Saccharomyces cerevisiae S288C: one gene and its partners. The protein of the gene in region 3 binds, or shares a complex with, the protein of the main gene of each other region. Each region holds a gene or a part of one and is shown on either strand. Other genes may lie near its edges. The genes, in order: MRPL10, MRPL36, MRPL4 and MRPL23.

Region 1 (3,056 bases), on a different chromosome or scaffold from region 3:
CTCAAAATTCACCCATTTCCCACACATATGTGTTTTAGGAACGTTTAGGATAAGGAATCGTCATACTGACGTACCTCATTTTGAGATACAACAAATCATATATTATAAGACTCCATGGCCAAGTTGGTTAAGGCGTGCGACTGTTAATCGCAAGATCGTGAGTTCAACCCTCACTGGGGTCGTTTATTTTTTTTGTATTTGTGCTTATTTACTAAATAACCATTTCACCCTGTTATAATAATGCTTAAAAGAAGAATGTAGTTTTTCTCTTTTCCTTTAACTGCTTTACTTCTCCCGAAAAAGCAAGATGCAATCTTTTAATATGTTTGAGTTTGCTTAAAGTATATTCACAAAAAAGAAAATAAAAGTTAAAAATTTCTGAAAATCAGGACCTTATTCGATAGTTGGTCATAAATTGACTGAAAAATAGAATAATTTCGGACACCAAATGAATCATTAACAAGACAATATCTTAAGGTATGTACAAGTGAGAATATTACTTATATATAAAACGGTTAACAATTTTTTAGTGGTCCAAAGCCTTGATGTTCATGACTTTAGAATTAGACACAACTGGCACCCAATCCTTCTCTGGAGACAGTTCTTCTAGCTCTATTTCTAATGAGCTCTTTTTTACATTCTGTTTTAAAAAGTGTCTAGAACCCTTATTTTGAGCTTCTTTGATATCTTGTAAGAGTTTATCTTTTTCCATTACTAGGTAACCTCTTTTCTCTTCTTTACTATAGAAATCAATATCCCTTCTTTTCGTGGGTCTAGCCTGTAGTGGTACTCTTCCCCTCTTCTCAAGAAACCACTGGGGGTTGAGATGTGCCCTTAGACCCAACGGTGTGTAGTAACGAGCTGTAAACTTACCTCCTGCTTTTTCAATAGCCGCAATAGCCTTAGCGGATGCTCTAGAAGCCTCCAAAGCAATCGGTAGATTGTAGTGGAACTTTCCGCTGGCTAGAATTTTAACTCCGTACTTTATGGGACCAGTTACCAGACCAAGCTTTCTCATCTTATTCATGTCTAAAACCTCGCCTGGTTGCAAATGAAGCCTATTTTTATCATGAAACCATTGAATGCGTTTCAAGTTTAATTCCTTTAATGGTTTGGCGCCAACGTTGGTAAATCCAATTTTAGGAAATAGCTTGTAAATTGGAGTTTGACCACCTTCAAACCACGATTTTACTTTACCACGCGCCTTTTGACCCTTTTGACCACGCCCTGATGTCTTACCTAAACCGCTGGAAGGACCACGCCCAAGTCTTTTGAAAGACTTTGTAGAACCATCTGACGGTTTCAATTGTCCCAAAATCGAAACATAACGATAACTTTGAAATGCTAATACCGGCGATTTGAATAAACCTCGGAAAAAAATATCGTTACCAGCTACGCTAGTTAACATCATGGACGGAACAAAAGTGTTTATTAGTTTGCGACCGATTACGGTTGTAAAACTATTTCTTAATCCTGTTTGCCTTTCCGCTTTCATCAACTTCTAAAGGTCATGAGCTTTAATTTTACGCACTGCGTTTAGTGCAGTTACCTGGAGTTTCAGCCGGGTAAGAAAACTATACGATTGCCAAATAGAAAAACGGATATAAAGATAGTAGCTGTGAATAGTAGCTTTGTATAGTACATAAAGGTACCTTATCTAACATTGCTTGCGACGCAGAATACGCAAAATATACTGTTTAATTGCAATCAGGAGTTTGCTACGGTATTTGGTATAATCGGAACTCATATTGTCCTACGTTCACCGAGACCAATGAACGCACAATAAAATGGATACTTGGAATGCCCTACCCAAAATATGAGCTGCGTTTGTTTTGTGAAAAACGAAAAGTAATTAAGTTGTTTTGCAGAAGTGTGAATAATTGGGGGACGCCATTTGGTTTCTCTCTTCTGATTGATTAAAGTTAATTTCGGCACAATAACCCAATGACTGGCTAGGAAACTTCTCGATGCATCCGTGATCTCCCAAGGACGAAATGGTTTTTATCACGTCCTAACGACATCATATGTCCTCGAGGAGAACTTCTAGTATAGTATTTATTAACAATGGAATCCCAACAATCATCAAATTATTCACCAAATATACACAGATTCTTATACTAACTAAAGTAAGAAGATTAGGATTTCCATACTCATTTTGTTAAGTAGCACTTGTATATCCGGTTTTCTCAAGTTCTGAGCTTCTATGGCCAAGTTGGTAAGGCGCCACACTAGTAATGTGGAGATCATCGGTTCAAATCCGATTGGAAGCATATTATTTTTATTCTACGGTAAACATGCCTGATGGTGATTTGAGACAGACCCCATTGCCTCAGATTTGTGAAGAATAGAAAATGTGTACATTCATTTTGATAAACTATACATATACTTAACTTTTTAACATGATAAATCAATATTGATATGGTCGGTACTGTTCACTTTATCTATATTTTTTTTCTTTCGTGCAATAATCGTCGGCTTTAATAATATTATACATACAAAGGGAAAATGAAGGAAAGAAATATGAAAGGATGAATAAGTCTTTGATATGAATATGTAGTGTTGGTATCTAAACCTAGTCAGCGCAAAGAACTATTATTGGAATCCTTTGCATCATCGTAATCATCATCACCATCTGAGACATTACTCCCAATATTTGAACTCACATTATCGGGGTTGACAATGTGTAGTTGTCTTTCTTCCATCATATCGGGCAGCGAAGTAGCACTGAACCTTTGGTTCCCGTTATAGATCGAAGGAGGCTCCTCGTACACTACCGAGGGAAAGTGACTTCTTTTGCTGATATTATGTGCATCACCAGTAATAATAGAATCTCTGCCGCCCGGCGCCCTTGTCGGCAGATCATAAGTGGCAAAAGTAGACGCTGTATTCTTGGACAATGCTGTATTATTCCTAGAGGGTATGTGCCAGTTAGTGCTCGAAGCAGACGGTGGAATAACAGGGTTAGCGTCAGCATCACCCAGTGAGTACGGCTGGTACTGCTTTGTCTCTTCCAAGTCCACATGCTGAGAAGATTGGCGACGTTTTTTCCATACGAA
Region 2 (2,635 bases), on a different chromosome or scaffold from region 3:
TTGAAAATCAACACGAATGCAAAAAGGGAAACTAAAATAAAAGAAATCCTCAAAAGTAATTGAACAGATTTCGAGTCCTAATTGCAAGTAAAATTATGTATACAAAGTACGTGATAAGTATCGCAGCAGTGATTCAACACTCGAGAAGAGTAAAAATTTTCAATTTTTTTCCACTGCGCTGAAATATTACGAGGCGTAGAAAATGATCACTACAATGCCGTTGCTGCTTATTGCAGCGTAAGTGAGCTTCATTCACAGACCATTTGCCTCGATAATCCATGAATCATATCTGGTTCATATTATGTTTGTAAATGTGTGTCTTGTTGCACTTAATCTATCGCGATAGCGCCAAACCAAGCGTTCGCAGAATCTTCGTTGTCAATATATACATATGTAGACGTATGTGTATATGTTGCGGTATATACAAGGCTGTTTATGTAGTCTTCAAACAGATGCGATTGAGATCTATGTCCCAAAAGGAATATAAATTGGTTCGAGAATAGAAAAGTAAGGGGAGCAAACACTATTCACTTCTTGTCTCTCTTCTTACTGGCCAACTTACCTGATTTGATCTGTTGTTCACTATCGTCTAACAGAGATAGATAGTCATCCATACCGAACGCTTTTTCAGAAACGTCTTCCTTCTCCTCCTTTTTAATCTGTGTTTTCTTTTTATTTTCTTCAGATAGTTCAACTGTTTCAGAGCTTGAATTTGGGGTCGTTGAATCGACAGAAAACAAAGAGCTATACCTCTTGTTAAATCTGTCCAAGCTACCACCAGAATTAGCATCCACAACGACTAGGTCATCCCTGCTAGGATTCCACAGCGGATTATTTCTCTGGTCTTGAATTAATCTAATTTCACCCTTTGGATATTGGGATCTCCGGATAACTACACTTCCATCACTCAACTCCATTTTGACATTGAATTGGTGATAAATAGCCGGTCGTGACTTCCCCAGTTGAATTTTTTTTGCAGGCCTTCTTGGCAAAGTAATTCTTGTAGAACCAGGATATGACCCTGTGGAAGCAAATCGCTTCGCAAATATAGACTTCAACATTAGGAGTGAACAAAACGTGTGTTCGTTTGCGTTGGTACCCGTTCTTTCTGGAGGCATTCTTAACTTTTAGGAATAATAATGATACCCTTTCATTTTAGTTATTTGATTTTGATGCATTTTGCACGAGATAATCGCTCTTTACGGTTTGGGGACAAAACTCAGAAATATCACATACGTAGTTATGGTTTTATTGCACATTTGGCATATTTTGATATTGAAATAAAAGAAAACCTACTTATTACAGATCGACTTCATCAACAAATCCCTTGAGCTCGCTTTTCATTGTTTCCGCGGTTTTAGGATCTAGTTTAGCTATTTTATTTATGATATCTTGGAAGCTCGCTGTTTTAACATCAAAACTTTCTTGTTCTTCTTCATCTGCATCAACGTCATCCACGTCATCGTCTATACTTGCAGGCACCTTCAAGTTCTGATCAGTGTCCATCTCTTCATTTTCCAAAGCAGCGTCGTCTGGCTCTTCAGTTATGGCGCCATTATCATCAAAATCATCACCAGCAGCGATACCCTTATCCTCCTCTATGGCATTTGAGGACATTTGACTACCTGCATCCATATTTATGTCCCCATCAGCATCTTTATTGGTGTTAACACCCATTCCCTCTTCTGAGTTCTTGTTTTCGGGTACCATGGATTCTTTAACAAATAACATTGTCTTGAAATACTTCAACTTGTATTTATTATACTCATAATTTCCTTGAACCATGCAACCAAGTTCGTATTTTACTATCCTTCTTATCTTGACCAAGTCTAATTCTTTGAACCATCCAGTTAGTTCATTCGCCTTATCTAAATATTCGACGTTGTGAAAAACTTCTGCAATGTTTGGCTCACCAATTAATAAATCAATCTGCAACATCAGGTACCACGGTATTCTTTTTCCATCAAATTTGAACCTGCTGTCAATACCGCCTGGAGTGTCTGATTCGAATACCAGGGGTGGTGGCTTTGGTACATTCTTTTTCACTATGGGAGAAGATAGTAATTTCCTTTCAATCTTAAAATATTCTGTTTGATATTGGGCGTATTCCACTGAACTTCTGGGGTCTATACCAAATTTGATATATGTATTTCTCCAAGGCCCCATTGTGAAACGATAAGATATGAGTGCCAGCGCTATCTTCATAGTATGGTGTATCTTCTTCGGGACAATCCCATCAAGATGTCTTTTAACCCAAATTGGACGTCTAGCGAAGAGCTCTCTCAAAATTTTCAAGCATTCCTCCAGCGATTCATAAAATTTAGAGTCACTTTTAGTGCCTGGATAGACTTTTGTTTTCTTCGCGACCTCAAAATCGTACAGGACTTGTTCATGAGCTTGGGACGGTATAACTGTCTTATCACTAAGATCATGAACAAACAACTGATAGTTTTTGATATATGTTCCCTTCACTTCTGTGACACCGTTTTTTTTTTTTTTCGCAAATGGATTAGCTTTATATTTATAAAGCAGGGGGAAACCAACCATTGATAACTTAGGAGGTGGCGGCAGTTGGAAATCTGTACTCGGAATTTTAACGCTACGGTCTAAGATCAAATTCCCGATGTTTTCCTGA
Region 3 (3,459 bases):
ATTTAGATTTTGGCACAGCATACGAATTGGGCAAGCAAGTGTTTGAAATTTGTCAAGAAGCGGGCCAACATATGATGAAGGCGTTGGGCGATGAGCATTGGTTAACATTTTATCAAATGGGGAAGTTTGTCGATCCAAATTGGGTGGATAATGAAATTCCCACAGAGATAATTGTTCTGCAGATGAGCATCTTGGGCCGCTTACTGGAGGTTTGCCCCCTTGAGGAAGTCGAAATTGTTACATCGCAATGGAGCACACTAGAATTGGAGCTAAGCGCCCGTGACCTGGTGAAAGACAAGTACGCACTGGACGGACAGAACGACAATAAGAGTAAGGTAGGCGGCATTGCTAGGGAGATTTTCCACAACGTGACTAATTTCTGAATACATACAGCGTATAGCTATATAAAGGTGTATGTATGTGTGTATGTATGTGCGAGTGTGTGTGGATATATATATATATATATATTTACAGGAGAGAGGGTAGGAAGCCCACGGGAATCATGCAGTTGCTTGCTCCACGGAGCTTGCATGAATTAGCTGTTTCAAGTATTTTCTCACGGTGGGGAGTTCGTCTAATTTAGGGACTTTATTATCTGGGGACTTTCTCAGGTCTTTGATGGCGACACAAGCCTCTTGAACGGCATGAGGTTCGAAGTCGGAAGTGAATAAGATGAACGACTCGCCCACGTCTGTGATCGGTTCTTGTGATATTTCGGATATGAGGTCATTGGAGTCCTTGAACCGCTGTAGTTTTAAGTTTGCCAAGAACTTGATCCCGTCGATGAAGTTAATGTCGACTGTATTATCCTGGATGGTTTCCGATATGCCGAAAATGGCCAACTGGAATCGTGTGAGCATGGAGGCGACTTCGTCATCAGGGATATCCTTGTTCAAGAAGTAATCGTTGGCCAAAGTATCCAAGAACTTTTTCCTCTCCGATTCATCCTGTAAAAATTCGCGTGAAGCGCTATAGGCCAGCTCTCTTTCGTTAAGTACATGTCTTATTTGCCACATGGTGGTTCTGATAGAGTTAGAGAGCTCACTGAATTCGTCATGCGTGGAGCCAACAATGTTTTTCAAGAGATGGTTTTCGCGAGCAAGCACATTTTGCTCCCTGAGGCAGTTGTACCAAAGGGAATGCAAGTCGTTAAAGGACTTGTGCCTCAACTCTGGGATGCTCCAGGGTCTGATATGGCTGGAAGGCGGCAAGTCGTCGGCGGACCTGATGAATTTCTTGTTGGAGAAGAACTGCCACAGCGGGTGGTCGTCGGGACAGCGCAGGTTTGAGGTTGTTGGTGGGATTGGTTCGGTAATCCTCAGGTTGTTGGAGTGATGAGTCAATTGAGTGGGCGGTCTTATTTTGTCTTTGGGAAGCACCGGTTGTTTTGGCTTTGGTTTGGTAAACTTTGTTCTGGCACGCAGGGGCCCTCCTTGGGAGTGGAACGATCTCTTCCACATTTTTATTATATTTTTATGGTATTTTTTTCTAGCCGCAGAGATAGAATGGTACTCTCTTACCAGGGCTCGATAGCTTTCAGGGCAATTCTTTTAGTTTGCTGAAATGATATTTTTTCTTCTTCCTGATGCGCCCTTTTGGCTATCCGTGCTGTGTGATAGGTCGCGATATTGAAAGAAGAAAAAAAGCAAGAAAGCTGAGGTTTGAACAAACAAGAGGCAGGATGTTTCCATCCATTCTAGCAACCAATACAACAGGGGAGAGACACGCAGATAAATACACACACACACACAACATCACGCACACTCAAGAAAATGGAGACACCTTTGGATTTATTGAAACTCAATCTCGATGAGAGGGTGTACATCAAGCTGCGCGGGGCCAGGACGCTGGTGGGCACACTGCAAGCGTTCGACTCACACTGCAACATCGTGCTGAGTGATGCAGTAGAGACCATATACCAATTAAACAACGAGGAGTTGAGTGAGTCCGAAAGACGATGTGAAATGGTGTTCATCAGAGGAGACACAGTGACTCTAATCAGCACGCCCTCTGAAGATGACGATGGCGCAGTGGAGATATAAGCAAAGAGGAGGAGAAAACAAAGGGAAACAGTACGTATTTTTTTATTTTACTTTTAGTATATTAAAAATGTGTAAGATATAAAACAAAAAAAAGAAAAGAAACGAGAAAACATAAAAAAAATGCGTATTAATATTATAACAGATCGATACACTTGGCAATGGTTTCGACACCGGTTTGCAAGTCCTCTTCGGAGATGACCAAAGGAGGAGCCAATCTGATGATGTGGTCGTGGGTGGGCTTAGCCAAGAGGCCGTGATCCTTCATCAATAGACACAAGTCCCAAGCGGTCTTACCATTGGCCTTGGATGGGTCGATTACGATGGCGGTAAGCAGTCCCATACCACGCACCTCAGAGATTATACCGTTAGATTTGGCTTGGAGAGCTTTCAATTGGGCGATGAAAGAGCTACCCAGTTGGGCGGCTCTTTGGCACAGCTTCTCGTCGCGGATGACCTCGAGGGCGGCGATGGCAACGCGGGAAGCCAAAGGATTACCGCCGAAAGTAGAACCGTGAGATCCTGGGGTAAAGCAAGACATGATGTCGTGAGAAGACAGAACACATGAGACGGGAAGAACACCACCTGAGAGAGCCTTACCTAACAAAACAATATCAGGCTTGGCCTCTGCCTTGTAGTGGTCGTAGCAAAGCAACTCACCGGTTCTACCGATACCGGTTTGAATTTCGTCAACGATCAATAGGACGTTGTGCTTACGGCATAATGCGGAGACCTTTGGGAAGTAGTCTGCGGGGGGCACGACGATACCGGCTTCACCCTGAATTGGCTCTAGAATGATGGCGGCAACGTTCTTACCTTCAGGAGATTCCAAGATAGGGACGAAATCTTCTGCGTGGCCGTATCTGATCTTGTGCACGGAGTGACCACTGGCAACGTTAGGCACGAAAGGCCCGAAATGCAACTTGGAGTCCTCGTAGTCGGTACTCAAACTGATAGCACCGAAGGTTCTCCCGTGGAAGTTACCCTCGGCACCCAGAATGATGGCTTTATCTTGAGGGATGTTCTTCTTCATGTACCCCCATCTTCTGGCCAACTTCAAAGCAGTTTCCACGGCTTCTGCACCGGTGTTCATGGGCAAAACGGTTTCGAACCCGAAGAATTCGGTCACGAACTTGGCGAATTGCGCGTAAACATCGTTGTGGAACGCTCTGGAGGACAATGTTAGTGTTTGTGCTTGCTCCGTCAAAGCCTTGATGATGTGAGGATGGCAATGGCCCTGGTTGACGGCAGAATAAGCGCTCAGGAAGTCGAGGTACAGCTTACCCTCCGGGTCCCACACATGTGCGCCCTTAGCCTTGTGAAAAACGACGGGCAAGGGGTGGTAGTTGTGGGCGGAGTATTTGTTTTCCCATTCAATGGTTTGCTTGGAGGAGAGGGTAGCTTCGGACATTGGTGTTGT
Region 4 (2,817 bases), on a different chromosome or scaffold from region 3:
GAAATAATGTTGTAACTCTAAGAAAGTAAAATAATAAAAAACATTTCATTTGTGCTGATCTTGCCAAAAAAAGGGTAAACAAGTAGGCAATAGTAATAAAATAAGAATGAAGCATTTCTTTTAATAAGCAGAGAGAACTTTCAAGCATTCAAAAAACACAAAAATAATGATGAATAAAATGGGACTCACAGTGTTTATTTATAGTCCTTGTTTCGCATTTTACCAAATTAAAATTTAATTTTATCAAGACATATTAATGAACTTTAGCGGAAAACCTTAAATATCCAAGTCATAAATAATGACTTATGTAAAAAGTTATAAGAAAAATATACGGTGTTCATTTTGGAACAATGTTGCTGTTACACACTGTTAAATATATTTAGTATTCATAAAAGAAAGAAGATTTTAATACGCGTTTTGATTAAAACTACATAACAGATAAATATATACATGGATTGAAGACTGCAAAAAGGATATATAAAAAAATGACAAATAATTTCAATAAGCTATTTCAATTGGTTAAAAATTGATTCTTTAAGAGGCTCTGGTATTGATGATTGCTCATGGGCAAAGGCAGTAATATTTTGTTTATAAGGGTTTTCACTTCCATCGAAAACTTTTAAGCGGTCTAACCGTTGCTTTCTCAATTTATTTTTAGGCAACATACCGCTAACTGCTTTTTTCAAAATTTCTCCAAATCCTTTATCGGCAACAACCTTGTTCATTGTCTGTAACTTTAGCTGACCAGGTCTACCTGAATGAGACCAGTAAGTCTTCTGCTCAAATTTCTTACCTGTTACACGGATTTTTTGGCAATTAGTCACTACTACGTAGTCTCCACAGTCTTGTGACGGATGATAGACCGGCTTATGTCTACCAATTAAGGTAATTGCAATTGCTGAAGCCAATCTACCCAATGTCCTCTTATCACGGGCAACGTCGACATGGTGCCAAAGGCGCGCAAAAGCCAAGCCACTGTGTCCAATCTTCTGCGACATGAATAGGCTATTGTTGATGCTGGTATTGCTTTCTTTTTCTATATGATATCAGTGTATTCATAAGGTCTTTCTCTTTTACTTATTTAGAACGTTTTAAAGATCTCTAAACTACAAGGAAGGCTCCATGCGGGTAACAATCAACATTATAACGATAATTAACTAAACCATAACCGTCTAAGTAACCATAGCGTGCGGTGATTCTTCGCTAGATGGAACTCATGTCTTACTAGTAGCGTGTTTGGTACGTGCAATATAGAGCAAAACATTATATAGACATCGTAATAGCTTTTTATGTGCGGACTGTAATGTTTGTAAGAAGTAAAACCAGTCACTAATATAGTGAAAAAAAGTCAACTTATCGATCTATGTATCTCATAGAAGATGTATTGATTTAATATAACTTATAAAGGTGCTTCTACAGTAAGGTGCTGAGAGGACTTACTATGTCGGCAACAAGTTCAAATCTGAAGCTCTGAGGATTTCGCGAGATGCGCACAATCTGAAGTAATATAAAGATGAAAACACAATACAAAAGGCCTGAAAATCTATATGTCCGATAAGATATCATAGTATTCTTACTCGCAAGCACACATCAGGTACTTGGAAGTGTATGATGAGGTATCAATGGTGGCTTTATTTAGTATATGCCATCGGCCTAATGCTATGCCTAGGCCCGTCGTATATTCATCCAGATGAACATTTCCAATGCATCGAGATTTTGGCTATGCAGTTCATGAAGGTCAAAGGTACCATCCCATGGGAATTTAAATCAAAATTTGCTGCTAGGAGTTACGGCCCCCTATTATTGGTTTACGGGCCTTTGTTCACTATTTTAGAATCTTTTCCCGAAATTCAGGACAACCCAGCGTTAATTCTGTATTCGATGAGACTACAAAACTATGTGATGTACCTATTGTGCTATCATTTTTTAATACCTAAATTAATAAGGGATGAGAGAAAGGCCGTACAATTCATCAAAAAAAGTCTACTTTTAACTTCTTACGTAACCTGGACGTACCAAACACACACGTTTTCCAATTCCATAGAAACGCTGGCTTTAATCTCAACTTTAACTGTAATGGAAGATATGGTAAACGAAAAAAATATTCAAAGAAGTAATTTCAAAAATTCGGTTATATTGGGACTTATATTTAGTTTTGGTGTTTTTAATAGAGTTACTTTTCCTGCATTTATTTTCTTACCATGTTTGATATTATTCTGGAAGTTTTACCGGGTCCATTGGAAATCCTTTTCTTTACTTTTACTTTCATTTTCATTTTCCTCGTGTCTATTTGTTCTTATTGATACAAATATTTATAACAACGGAAAGGGATTTGTCATTACGCCCTTGAATAACCTGAAATACAACCTCAATGTCCAAAATTTGCAAGTACATGGATTACATCCAAGATACACCCATCTGCTGGTCAATTTACCTCAAATAGTTGGCCCAGTATTGCTGCTAGCGATTTTTTCCGGTTACAAACTCGATAAATTATCTACTTACGCAATCATATCTGGCCTGCTTTTTCTTTCATTCTTTCAACATCAAGAATTAAGATTCCTTGTACCGCTAGTGCCACTACTCGTGACAAACTTAAACTGGACACCTCTGAGTTCCACGTTAGTAAACAAGAAAATTTTCAAGGGAACTTGGCTTCTTTTTAACATAATCATGGCGTTCATCATGGGAATTTCACATCAAGCAGGAATTATCCAATTTTTGGGAGATTACTTCCACTTTCGTACCGAACAAATGGGCGTTCACATATGGTGGAAAACATACTCACCACCCACCTGGATGTATATGAGCAATAAC

What was found.
Region 1: MRPL4 (region 3) and MRPL10 share a complex: the UniProt entries of both Saccharomyces cerevisiae proteins name them as parts of the mitochondrial large ribosomal subunit.
Region 2: MRPL4 (region 3) and MRPL36 share a complex: the UniProt entries of both Saccharomyces cerevisiae proteins name them as parts of the mitochondrial large ribosomal subunit.
Region 4: MRPL4 (region 3) and MRPL23 share a complex: the UniProt entries of both Saccharomyces cerevisiae proteins name them as parts of the mitochondrial large ribosomal subunit.

The regions. Positions count from the first base shown.
Region 1 is NC_001146.8:102,608-105,663, forward strand, and holds MRPL10 (mitochondrial 54S ribosomal protein uL15m MRPL10), read right to left. Parts: upstream 1,496-3,056; coding exon 527-1,495; downstream 1-526. Other genes in the region: WSC2 (Wsc2p), read right to left, coding at 2,577-3,056. UniProt on the Saccharomyces cerevisiae protein: Component of the mitochondrial ribosome (mitoribosome), a dedicated translation machinery responsible for the synthesis of mitochondrial genome-encoded proteins, including at least some of the essential transmembrane subunits of the mitochondrial respiratory chain.
Region 2 is NC_001134.8:483,443-486,077, forward strand, and holds MRPL36 (mitochondrial 54S ribosomal protein bL31m MRPL36), read right to left. Parts: upstream 1,062-2,635; coding exon 528-1,061; downstream 1-527. Other genes in the region: transcription factor TFIIIC subunit TFC1, read right to left, coding at 1,300-2,635. UniProt on the Saccharomyces cerevisiae protein: Component of the mitochondrial ribosome (mitoribosome), a dedicated translation machinery responsible for the synthesis of mitochondrial genome-encoded proteins, including at least some of the essential transmembrane subunits of the mitochondrial respiratory chain.
Region 3 is NC_001144.5:1,012,492-1,015,950, reverse strand, and holds MRPL4 (mitochondrial 54S ribosomal protein uL29m MRPL4), read right to left. Parts: upstream 1,461-3,459; coding exon 501-1,460; downstream 1-500. Other genes in the region: SEC39 (Sec39p), read left to right, coding at 1-383; U4/U6-U5 snRNP complex subunit LSM3, read left to right, coding at 1,773-2,042; CAR2 (ornithine-oxo-acid transaminase), read right to left, coding at 2,176-3,450. UniProt on the Saccharomyces cerevisiae protein: Component of the mitochondrial ribosome (mitoribosome), a dedicated translation machinery responsible for the synthesis of mitochondrial genome-encoded proteins, including at least some of the essential transmembrane subunits of the mitochondrial respiratory chain.
Region 4 is NC_001147.6:610,180-612,996, reverse strand, and holds MRPL23 (mitochondrial 54S ribosomal protein uL13m MRPL23), read right to left. Parts: upstream 999-2,817; coding exon 507-998; downstream 1-506. Other genes in the region: SMP3 (glycosylphosphatidylinositol-alpha 1,2 mannosyltransferase), read left to right, coding at 1,609-2,817. UniProt on the Saccharomyces cerevisiae protein: Component of the mitochondrial ribosome (mitoribosome), a dedicated translation machinery responsible for the synthesis of mitochondrial genome-encoded proteins, including at least some of the essential transmembrane subunits of the mitochondrial respiratory chain.